2 linked regions of the Drosophila melanogaster genome follow. The protein of the gene in region 1 interacts with the protein of each later gene in a pairwise test. Each region holds a gene or a part of one and is shown on either strand. Other genes may lie near its edges.

The links.
Region 2: the proteins of Fit2 (region 1) and CG9705 interact in a two-hybrid assay, tested with the Drosophila melanogaster proteins (one large-scale study listed by BioGRID).

The regions. Positions count from the first base shown.
Region 1 is NT_037436.4:17,022,157-17,027,679, reverse strand, and holds Fit2 (fermitin 2), read right to left. Parts: upstream 3,353-5,523; 5' UTR 3,023-3,352; coding exon 875-3,022; 3' UTR 563-874; downstream 1-562. Other genes in the region: CG7730 (uncharacterized protein), read right to left, coding at 1-11; a10 (antennal protein 10), read left to right, coding at 3,959-4,229, 4,282-4,478; CG6652 (uncharacterized protein), read left to right, coding at 5,047-5,120, 5,194-5,523.
Region 2 is NT_037436.4:16,778,260-16,783,160, reverse strand, and holds CG9705 (uncharacterized protein), read right to left. Parts: upstream 3,062-4,901; 5' UTR 2,741-3,061; exon of another isoform or gene 2,657-2,740; 5' UTR 2,505-2,656; coding exon 2,371-2,504; intron 1,699-2,370; coding exon 1,576-1,698; intron 1,498-1,575; coding exon 1,323-1,497; 3' UTR 742-1,322; downstream 1-741. Other genes in the region: mus302 (mutagen-sensitive 302), read left to right, coding at 3,680-4,901.

The sequences.
Region 1 (5,523 bases):
GTTTTCTCCATATCCTAATTACTGCAGAATCTGGCACTTTTGATCTGCAGCCCAAGTTAAATATACTTACTTTAATTTAGAGACTGTATTTTAATGGGAAATCAATGTCGAAATGCTAATTTCGTTTCCATGACAATTCAACAAAGCTGGCGCCAAATTATCGAGAGCTAATCGATTAAGCTTCACGATATAAGTTTATCAATCGATACCGCGTAATTTTAAATGATACATTTTGACAATATTATTTTAAATCTCAAATCTATTAATGCCATAGAAATTCGGTTCAAAACTTTTTCAATCAATAGTAATTCTTTCAAGTAGTAATAGTTCTAAATTAAAACTTATTTCGCGATCCACAGTTTTCCTTGGTCTTTGATCCACTTGGTACCTAATAATTATTTTACTTAACTTTTAATTGCCATGTTTTACTGAACAAGTTTAATATTTTTGGACTATCAGTAAATTACTCTTTTAATGACCTTTACTGACCTCAGTAATTTAATATTTTAACCTCAAAAAATCTACTAGTGTCCCCGAAAAGTCCAATACCCAAGCAATAGTTGAATTTTAATATGGGATTTTTATTTAAATATACACTTAAGAGTTAGTTATACAAAAACATTGCTAAGGCCACGGTTAAGTCTAATTAGGTGTTGGGCAGGCAAAAAGGCCATTGGCAAGCGATTTTCGTGGTGAAAAATCATCAACAAGATTAGTTAACAACGAGTTAAAAGGTAAATAAAGTGAAATTAAATACATGTATTGCATTGAAGTTGTGAGTCTATCAGTTGGTTATCAGTTAAAACAGTGGTTTATCTTAACAAAATTCGAACAATTGAAACTGCCTGCCATTAAAATCGAGCAATAAATGGTACTAGGACCAGCCGCCGGTAAGTTTGTGGAAAAGCTCCTCGTTCAGGGTCTGGTTGGTGTCCTTGGATCGCATGGACATGAAAATGTAACCACCGATGAACTCGTGCACCACTTTACAGTCGGCTGAGTGGCAGGAGAAGACCACATTCTCGTCTTCAAACTGAATCATCATGCACTTTATGTTCCAGTTGACGTTCCACGCCTTCATGGTGTTATATCGCCAGGTCTTGATGTGATCTCCCGAACTCAGATCCATGCGCATAATGCGGTTGTGGGCCACGCCGAGCAGCTCCTCCTTCCGATGCCCGTCGAACTTAATGATGAACAGGCTTACTCCAAAGTCAGGTAACGAACGCCATGCCTGGATGTACTTCAGTTTTGAATCTAAAGCATTCAGCTCCCGAACGTTGGCATGTGCTTCGAGGATCCGCTGGACTGCCTTGTTCGACAACTTGCGGATGATCTTGGGCGACAGATAATCAACTGCTTCCACAGAGCGAGGATCGATGTTTACATGAACTCCGTGTGCGGGTCGCTGCATCTGCAGTAGCGAGAGTATGCTGTCCACTTCACTCTCGTACGAGCTATCCGCCAGGGATCTTCCCTTGGCCGCCAAACGACAAGCAGCCATCCACTTGGCGTACTGCTGCTCGTTCTCGCAGCGCACCCACACCTCACTGTTGATACCGTGGCCACCATCAGGAGAGACCTCCAGCCGGATAGCATACTTTCCCTGGGACAGGTTTACATCCGGAGTTACTTCGCAGCCCTTCAGGTTAATGCTTATGGCAGGCGCAACACGTCGCGAATCTTCGGCGTTCTTGAACAGATGCAAATGCAGATCCCGATAGGTGAAGTAGTAGCGCTTATAGCCGCGCAGCGTGAATCTTTGCGGCTTCAAGTAACGCAAATAGTCAGAGAGCTCTGGTATGCGTGTAATATTCCGCGAGTCTCCGCCGTAGTCCGGTCCCTCCAGCGTAATCTGTAGCTCTTTCAGTGCCGAATCAATCTCGTCTTCGTTGTCATTCTCCTGACTGGAAGTTTCAATGCCCGAGTCCACTGCTGCACCCTGGGGTGTATGATCTACGTGATGGTTCACCTGGAACTGGAGGGCGGCAAACATAAGGCTCTCCTCCTCTGTGCAATCCAACTCCTCGTTCAGAACACTCCACTTGGCCTGCTCGTACAGCTGATTGATGCGCACCTGGTCGCACTTGGGATTTAGATCGAAAAAAGTGAAATACTTGAAGCGCAGGCACAGCGTGTCGTACTCGCGTATGCCCTGTTCCATGATGGACAGCGAGGAATCTAGCCAGCCCACATTCAGACGAGCCTTCTCCACCAGCGACTTGGGGCGCAGCTGAAGAGCTCGCACATCCGCGCATGGGGTGGGCGGAGAGCTGGCCAAATTCTCCTGGAAATCGCCAAGACTTGAGGAGCTCGAATCGTACGTGGCATAGCCAAGCTGGCTCTGTTTCCAGGTGCCTGGAAAAGGTGATACGGTGCGCACTGGCGAGCGCGCTCGGTGATTGTGCGGCGACAGAGGAGCACAGAAGAAGGATCCCGGTGCAGAGGGCTTGTCCAGACTGCCCGTGCTTCCGCCTTCTCCATGAAACGACGTGCTGATGGGCACAAATGAGTTGGTGTCCGCAGCAGGCTGCAGGTAAGTGGTGCCATCTGGTTCAGCGATTGGCACTCGCTTCTGATGCGGCACCTGGGCGAAGTTACGCTTCAGGTGCTCCGCTTCCAGTGGTTTGCACAGGGACAACTCCTCCGGATAGCGGATATCCAACTGCTTGCATAGATTAACCACCGCCGAGAACGTCTTTACGGAGTAATCCACCCGGGAGTCCAGGTACCTCAAATCCGGCAGCTGCACCCGCAGTATCTTGTGCATGGGCGTGAAGTGCAGAAGGCTATCCGCCTGGACACCGCACTGATCCAGGGTAAGTTTGGTTCGGCTGAGCCAAACATTCCGCGCTGGCCACCACAGAGCATGATCCGACCAGTCCTTGGGATTCTCCGGATCCACCAGTTGCAGCATAATGCCCCCAATGTGCTGGTCACCGCGCACGCGCATCGTCTTCTCCAGCGCCAGATCCGTGATGAAGATCCGCAGATTCCACGAGTTCTCGCCGACGTGGATCATGGTGCTGCTGTGATGTCACCTGTCCTACTTTCTGCTGCCCGTCTGGGGCGTTTCTAGGTCGTCCTTGGTGGGGCGCCCACAGCAAAGTCGAGAGTTTTCCACCGATCGGCGCACAGATGGTCGTCAAATTCGCATTTTCCGCACTGTGACGCAATCCACGGGTTGAAAATTCACTGCAATTGCGTTGACTATGCCGCAATATTTCCGGATCCGGACAATTGCATCGATTCGTTTTGCTTGCGTAAATAGAGCAATTAAAGAAAATTCAGTCCATTGAAAAAGAAAGCGCCGAACCGACTGGTTTACCCACTCGCTCTGGTATCGATATATCTCTGACTTGGTTTTCCAAATCGCTATCGATTATTTCGTTGATCGGTGTACCAGATGGAAAAAGATATATTTTCGATTACTGTTTTAGATTACACCTATTAGAATTTAACTTATGGGCGCGAAGAAGTTTTGAAATTCAATTTAATGGGATGCCTTTTAAGTTTGAACTATAATTTTAAATTCTTAACCGAAGGACCTTTAATAATTTTGCATTTTTGTAGGTCCCAAAAAAATTCAAAAGCTTAGAATTTTAGATTAAGCATGCAGATTTTAGTAAGCAAAATTGTTTCAGAACGCTGACATTCATAGTATCACACAAAGCCCTATAATTATTGATTGCTAACTTATTAGATATTTTATTTTTATATCACAAAAAACAAACTGCTTAGCCCAGAATGATTTTTTTTTTAATTTCTTTAGAAAATAAGCCACTACCGCATTTGCCTGTTGATGGGCTCAAGGTAATCAAATTAAATTGACTTAATTTGAGCCCGATTGGTAAGTGGTCAAATTGGACGGAGACACGCAGTGTATTTCCAAACGGAGGCCTGTACATATAAAAGCCCGGATTGCTAATACGGTTAGCAGCATACGATCGATTCGAAAATGGGACAGCCCGGTTTCCGTCGTGCCATTGGGCACGTTTCGTTGGTGGTGGCACTGATGTGCACCACCTGTTTCCAAGTGGAAGGACTACCCCATCCGCCGGCCACGTCGCCGTCACCAATGATGGAAAGAATGGTGGAGCAGGCCTACGACGATAAGTTCGACAACGTCGATCTGGACGAGATCCTTAACCAAGAGCGACTGTTGATCAACTACATAAAGTGCCTGGAGGGCACAGGTCCTTGCACTCCCGATGCCAAGATGTTGAAGGGTAAGCTTGAAGCCCAATTCAATAATTCTCGGTAATACCCAATCTCTTGTAGAGATCCTGCCCGACGCCATCCAAACCGATTGCACCAAGTGCACGGAGAAGCAGCGGTATGGTGCTGAAAAGGTGACCCGTCATCTCATCGACAACCGACCCACCGACTGGGAGCGTCTGGAAAAGATCTACGATCCCGAGGGAACCTACCGCATCAAATACCAGGAGATGAAGTCCAAGGCCAATGAGGAGCCATAATCAATCTCTATTTTACGTCGTTTTTAACTTAAGTGATTTTATGTTGCTTTAATTAACGAATAAACTGCAGAGAAGCTTCAACCTTTGGTCTTTTTGAAAGTATCCAAGCCGTAAGAATCTATTAAATTTTAATTACCCGAAATGCGAATTATTTTACTAGTTAAACAACTTAAATACATAGTTACAGATATATTTTGCTTCAAAAGAAGAAATTGTAAATTTTGCGGAAGCGGAAGCGTTTGAAAACGAATACAAGTCGTCTCGATTCCCCAATTCGATAGACGAGCAATCGGAGGCGTCATGGCAACCAGTTCCTAGGAGCCCCGATTCCGGATTCAGCCCCAACAACGCAGCAGTCGGCGGAGCAAACAATAAACAATAATCAGACATCAAACATCAAGGCGTAACCACAGTAGCAGGCACTTGGTTTTCAGTTACATTTTGACTTCACCTCGCACCGACTCTCTATCTATTTCTATACACTAGACATCCGAATTGGCCTCCGAAAATTATTAGCTTTCTCGAGCTAACCCAGTGACAATCCTCCGGAGCAGCGGCAGGACCTTAGATGGTATCGCCGCGCAAGCTGGCATCGTCCTACGGCCCAAGAGTATCCCAATCGGAACCGAACAATCTGATGGCGTGGGTAGAGTACACATCTTCGGCAGTAGCCACCATCTAAAGTCTTCCCCTCCCCCCAAATCCCCTTTTCTAGAGCGTCGGCAAAGAGCTGTGAGAGCCTATTCTCGGCCAGCTCCCGGGAGTCGGCCAGCCTGATCTACCAGCGCAGCAAGCCGCCACCGCCCCAACAACGTGGCGGCGTGAAGGGTTCCGGCAGTATGAGCTCCCAGAACCACAGCGAGATCCATCAGCGCGTCATGTCCGCGAGGAATCTGCGCGCCAAGACCTTCCAGAACCAACTGGCCGATGCCCAGGCGGAGATTGCCAATCTGGCGCACGAGAATCGCATGCTGCGCACGCTTCACAATCGCCAGTCATCGGCGCTGAATAAGTACGAGGCCCACAACGCTGAGCTGCCCAAGTT
Region 2 (4,901 bases), 240 kb from region 1:
CCTTTAATTTGGTTAAATGTACGATCGAATGGCTTTCTGAATATCTGCCAGTTCGGTCTTTAATTAATTCATTTTCCGTTGAATCGGAATATTTTCTTTCGTGGCATATGTTTGTTGACGTTCCAATATATTTTTATAGCAACTCTCTGTCGCACTACGCATGCAGTTGCTATAAACCGCCGCATGGTCACACTAATCATTCGAAATTCAAACTGAGTGGCGGGAGACTTACGAAATGGAAATCCATAATTTTAGGAGTATGAGTTGGTTTGGCTATTTATGGCTCTACTTGATAAATTTAGCGGGCGGAAATCTTTAGGTATCTATTGTGGCAAAAAGGTTGGTTTTTTTTTATTGAATATGTTACGGTTTCGATTTTCTGCAGAACGCAGGAAATATATTTTCAATAGTGAGCCAAAAATTCATGTATGCTTTGGGCTGCAAAAAGTATCTGCTTTCACTGCAGATAAGATACACCACTAAATTAAATACAAGTTACAGCTGCGGCTAAAACAATATTTTGCCATGTTATGAATATCGTGATATTACAATCAGACATTAGCTAATATCTAAAATGAACATTTAGATGCCGTAATAAAAACGTAAGATTAATAATTTTGCATAAAATTTTATTAGAACACATACAAGCAAGCGGCTATTATGCTGACCGCAATTGTGCGTACAATACACACTCCATGCTGATAACTCCCACGCCACTCCAGAAAAATCACCGATGGAATTGTTTTGCAGCTGTTTTAATAATAAAGTGAATTACTGAGAGCATTTTGCTTGTTTGCTTCGCGAACACATTCAGATGTTTTGTTATAATTAAAAGTAATTACTGATACAGGGCACCACAGCATCGCAGGCGCTGTGCTAGTGGCTTCTCGAATAACAATTTCAATTTCCAAATACATACGCGCTTTTAATAATATACTCGAAACTGGTTGCGGTTGCTCTCCCCTCTTCCAGAGGGAAAGGCAATATTTGTGACTGCGTTTTGTTTGACTTCCATAGCTTAGCTTAAATTCTAATTAAGTGTTCAATTGAAACTCTTGTGATGCTGCTCGCTGGCTGGCTGGATGGCAGGCCTGTTGTTCCATTCTATTACGTTCTGGTCTGGTTTCGGCTTTTTCCTGGCTGCTTCGATTGCTGTGCTTTCGTTTACTTTCATGGTTATTGTTCTGTTCCGGTTTTCCGTTTCGTTCATCTCGGGTGGCGTGCTCTAGCTCAATTAAATTTCTTGGAAGGCCGTTCAGCTTTTAACAACACACTTTTCCGCTTCCGAGCTTCGAAATCTCCCAGGGCCACAAGCTTCAGCTTTACTTAGCGGGCGAGGAGCCACCATAGAATGGCTCCTCCCACTTGTGGTGCACCTCCGGCGTCAGGTGGCTAATCTGCACGTGCACGGCCTGGTGCTTCTCATACTTGGGCGGAATGGCGCACAGACGGTATTTGACCTCGTCCCCGGGCATGGGCACATATTCACCTTCGATGCTGTGGGAAGATTACATTTTTGTAGGTCTTACAGAGCCAGCGCAAAGGTCGCCGCGCATGCAATATTCATTCACTTACTCGGAAACGTGGCAAAAAACGTCCTCTCCGCCGGCGTTGGGTGTAATGAAGCCGTGTCCTTTGGTGCGGCTGAAGGATTTCACCATACCGGTCACAACCGGATTTTCCAAGGCCCGAGCGGAGCTATGTTTTTTCAGCGTTATTTTGAGTTTGCGCGTGTTTGCGTTTTGGCAGCGTTTGGGAAAAGAATTAAGCAGGAAGAGACAAGTTAATCAATGGAGGATGCGCATGGGGATATGAGGGGGAAGAATTTAAGTACGTGGATTATGTTCGAAAGGGTTCCGAGAGCTTATAAATTCGGCAGCGACTGATTTCTGAATGTATGTATGTATGTACAATGAAATAATTGAAAAAGTATGGGGTTTACAAATTTAAACTTTCAAAAAAAATGGTCCTTACGGTTATAAAAATATTTATAAGTATATACACATAAAAATAAATATATTAAATGTAAATGTGGAACCAATAAAGTGTTCCATGTTCGATTACTAATTACTGTTTGTTTCATTATGTTTGCTCATCTAATTCAACAAATGCAGTTTAAAACATTATAGAAAGCTTTTGCTTTAGAAATTACAAGCTTCCATGCTATTCTTTTACTATTTCAAAAGGTTGTATTTGGTTTTCATACAAAAGAGCGAACCTTGTGAAATAATGTGAACTTTCGGCGCCTATTTGGCCCCATAAAGGCTCTGCATAGGGGCCAAGTTCCCCTTGGGGTCAAGTGTGTGTGGGGCCAGTAGTGGGTGGGTGGTTTTGCTGGTTGGGTGGGCAGGGCAGTGCAGGAGGACTTACGTCGAGGCCGTGCGAGTGCGCCTCGTGATGATGGGACTGGGCAGCTGCAGCGAGGCATTGGGACTATGGCTGTTGTGGTGTAAAACCGGCGGCTTGGCGGCCAGCAGCTTCTCGGGCGTCCTTGGTTCGGTCATGGCTTTCTTACACTGCTCGTTTACTTGCCGATTTATGCGTTCTTCCCCTTTCTTCGCTCTTTTCCTCTCCTCTCTTCAGACAGTAGAAGCGGCTTGCGCGTGTGTATATATGTGCGTATGTGTGTTTGTGGGTGAGTGGACGGCAGCCAAGTCTGTCGAGTTCAAGGCCACGGGGGGCGGGTTAGTCAGTCAGCAAATTGCGTTGCACTTAATTCACGTGTACTCGGTCAGCTTACCGACAACTTCACGCCCTCTTTCCTAGCACCTTGATAATTGGCAATCCAAAAATCCTGGCTTAGCTTCTTTTTTTTTTGCGAAACACCCACACACTGATGCAAATTTTACCGCTGTGCGAAACGCCGGTTGCCAATGTTATTTGTACCCCCTAAATCAGTCCTGCGCGGTATGACTTTTATCAACTTTGGAATCTGGGATTTTTTTAAACTTTTTTATCAATTATTACACCGGCTTGATGCGCGCTTTTTAAGAATTTCAGTTTTTTAACGAATGGCGGCGGAGGCGTCAAAGTCAGACCTCAGAGTGAACGTTTTGGAATGTTCCAGAAATCCCAAAACCTATCGCTTAGCCTAATTGGCAATCGATGTTTATAGCAACATGAATAAAATTTGAAAATCAAATTTAACGAACAAACAGGATTAATTACAAGTTACTCCAACTTGTTGGTAGAATAAATAGATGTGAAAATTTAATTGAAAGCATTTATAATTATTTTAAACAATTAAAAAATTGCATTTTCCGCACAAACACTCAACTCTTATATAGATTCTTTTTTTATATGCTTGATATACGAAAAAAATGTGTTCAGACTAATATGTTGTCCACACTAACAATGAATATTTAAATATATTTATTTACATGTAGTACTCGATAGTTTCACCCCGTTGTTCCATCACTAAAGCATCTCGATCTTGACCATCCCTAGCTTGAAATTTAGCGTCCTATTGCAGGAAAGTCGCGAAATAGATAAAATAATAACAAGAACTTTCATGTTTTCCAAGAGGAAAACTTGATTGAGACCATATATAGGTGAAACGGACAGCGAAGGTTTCGCAAAAGGCGACAGCGCCGTGGATCCGGAAATATACTCATCGGGCAGCAGGGAATGCGATCAGTCTGAAGCGAGAAAGCGGAATTCAGACATCCTGCTGCAAGGAATGGAGAATGAAACCGAAGCTCTTGATCCGGAAGTTTATGCCGATGAGACCTCTACAGATGATAGCTCTGGTGATGATGAGGTAATCCTCAATCCAGTTGAAGGTCTGCAGCCGGCGGTTGAGATTGATGAACAACGTGACCAGCCTGGTGAGAACGCGGAACCCGAGCAACCGAGAGTTCCGCCTTTAATTCTGGTAGATCCTCCGCATTTGCCCAGTCCCCCGAGAAATTCCCGCCGCAATCAAGGCGAAGAGCAGGAGGTGATCTCATTAGAAACGCCATCACCGCCCAAGAAACGTAAACGTCTCTCCGCTGCTGCCGATAAAAGCCTTAAAAAGTCGCCCGAGGGCAAACCAATAGTTGTAGATGACGAGGACGATGGCATGACCTGTCCCATTTGTCTGGATTCCTGGGAGATGAGTGGCGAGCATCGACTGGTCTCGCTGCGATGTGGTCACCTCTTTGGGGAAAGCTGCATTCGGCGGTGGTTAAACGAAAGCCATCGCCAATCTTCTGTGAAGGTGTGCCCGCAGTGCAAGACGAAGGCCACATTTAGAGATATCCGTCATCTGTATGCGAAGCGCATTCAGATGCTGGACACGGATATTAGGGAGCAGCTGGAGGCGGAGCGGCGGCGTACACATACTCTAACAACAGAGCTGGCTACCGCGAAGCTGGCTAACACACTCACCACTGAGAAGCTGATTCTCCTGCAGAAGGACTACGAACGGCTTAAGGAGCTGGTGAGGGCAGGTGGTGGTCGGGGAGCCTTCGGAGGCGATGCATCCGGCCAGAAGAGCATTCAACAACTAGCCACCTACCGATTGTACATGGAGAAGAACTTCGAGATAACTCGAGATCCCGGCTGCCGTGTATTGCTCTATTCCGCCAAGCACTCCATGCTGGTGGCCTCGCAAAAGAGTGCCCAAAACCTGTTCCCCGGCTACGGCGTACGCTTTATTGATCCACCTACCTTCAAGCCCCTGCAATTCCTGCACACCTCGGCACTCCTAATCCGGGACATTGCTTTTAGTGACTCACAGCACTTGCTCACTGTGGCCAGTCGGGAACTAAAGATCAAGATATTCGACATAAGAACACGGCTTTGCTCGTCTATGTTCACCGCTCATGACAAGATGCTGTGGTCTTGCGCCCTGGATCGCAACGAGCGCGAACACTTTCTATACGGCGGAGATCTGCGAGGTGGAGTTTATATCTACG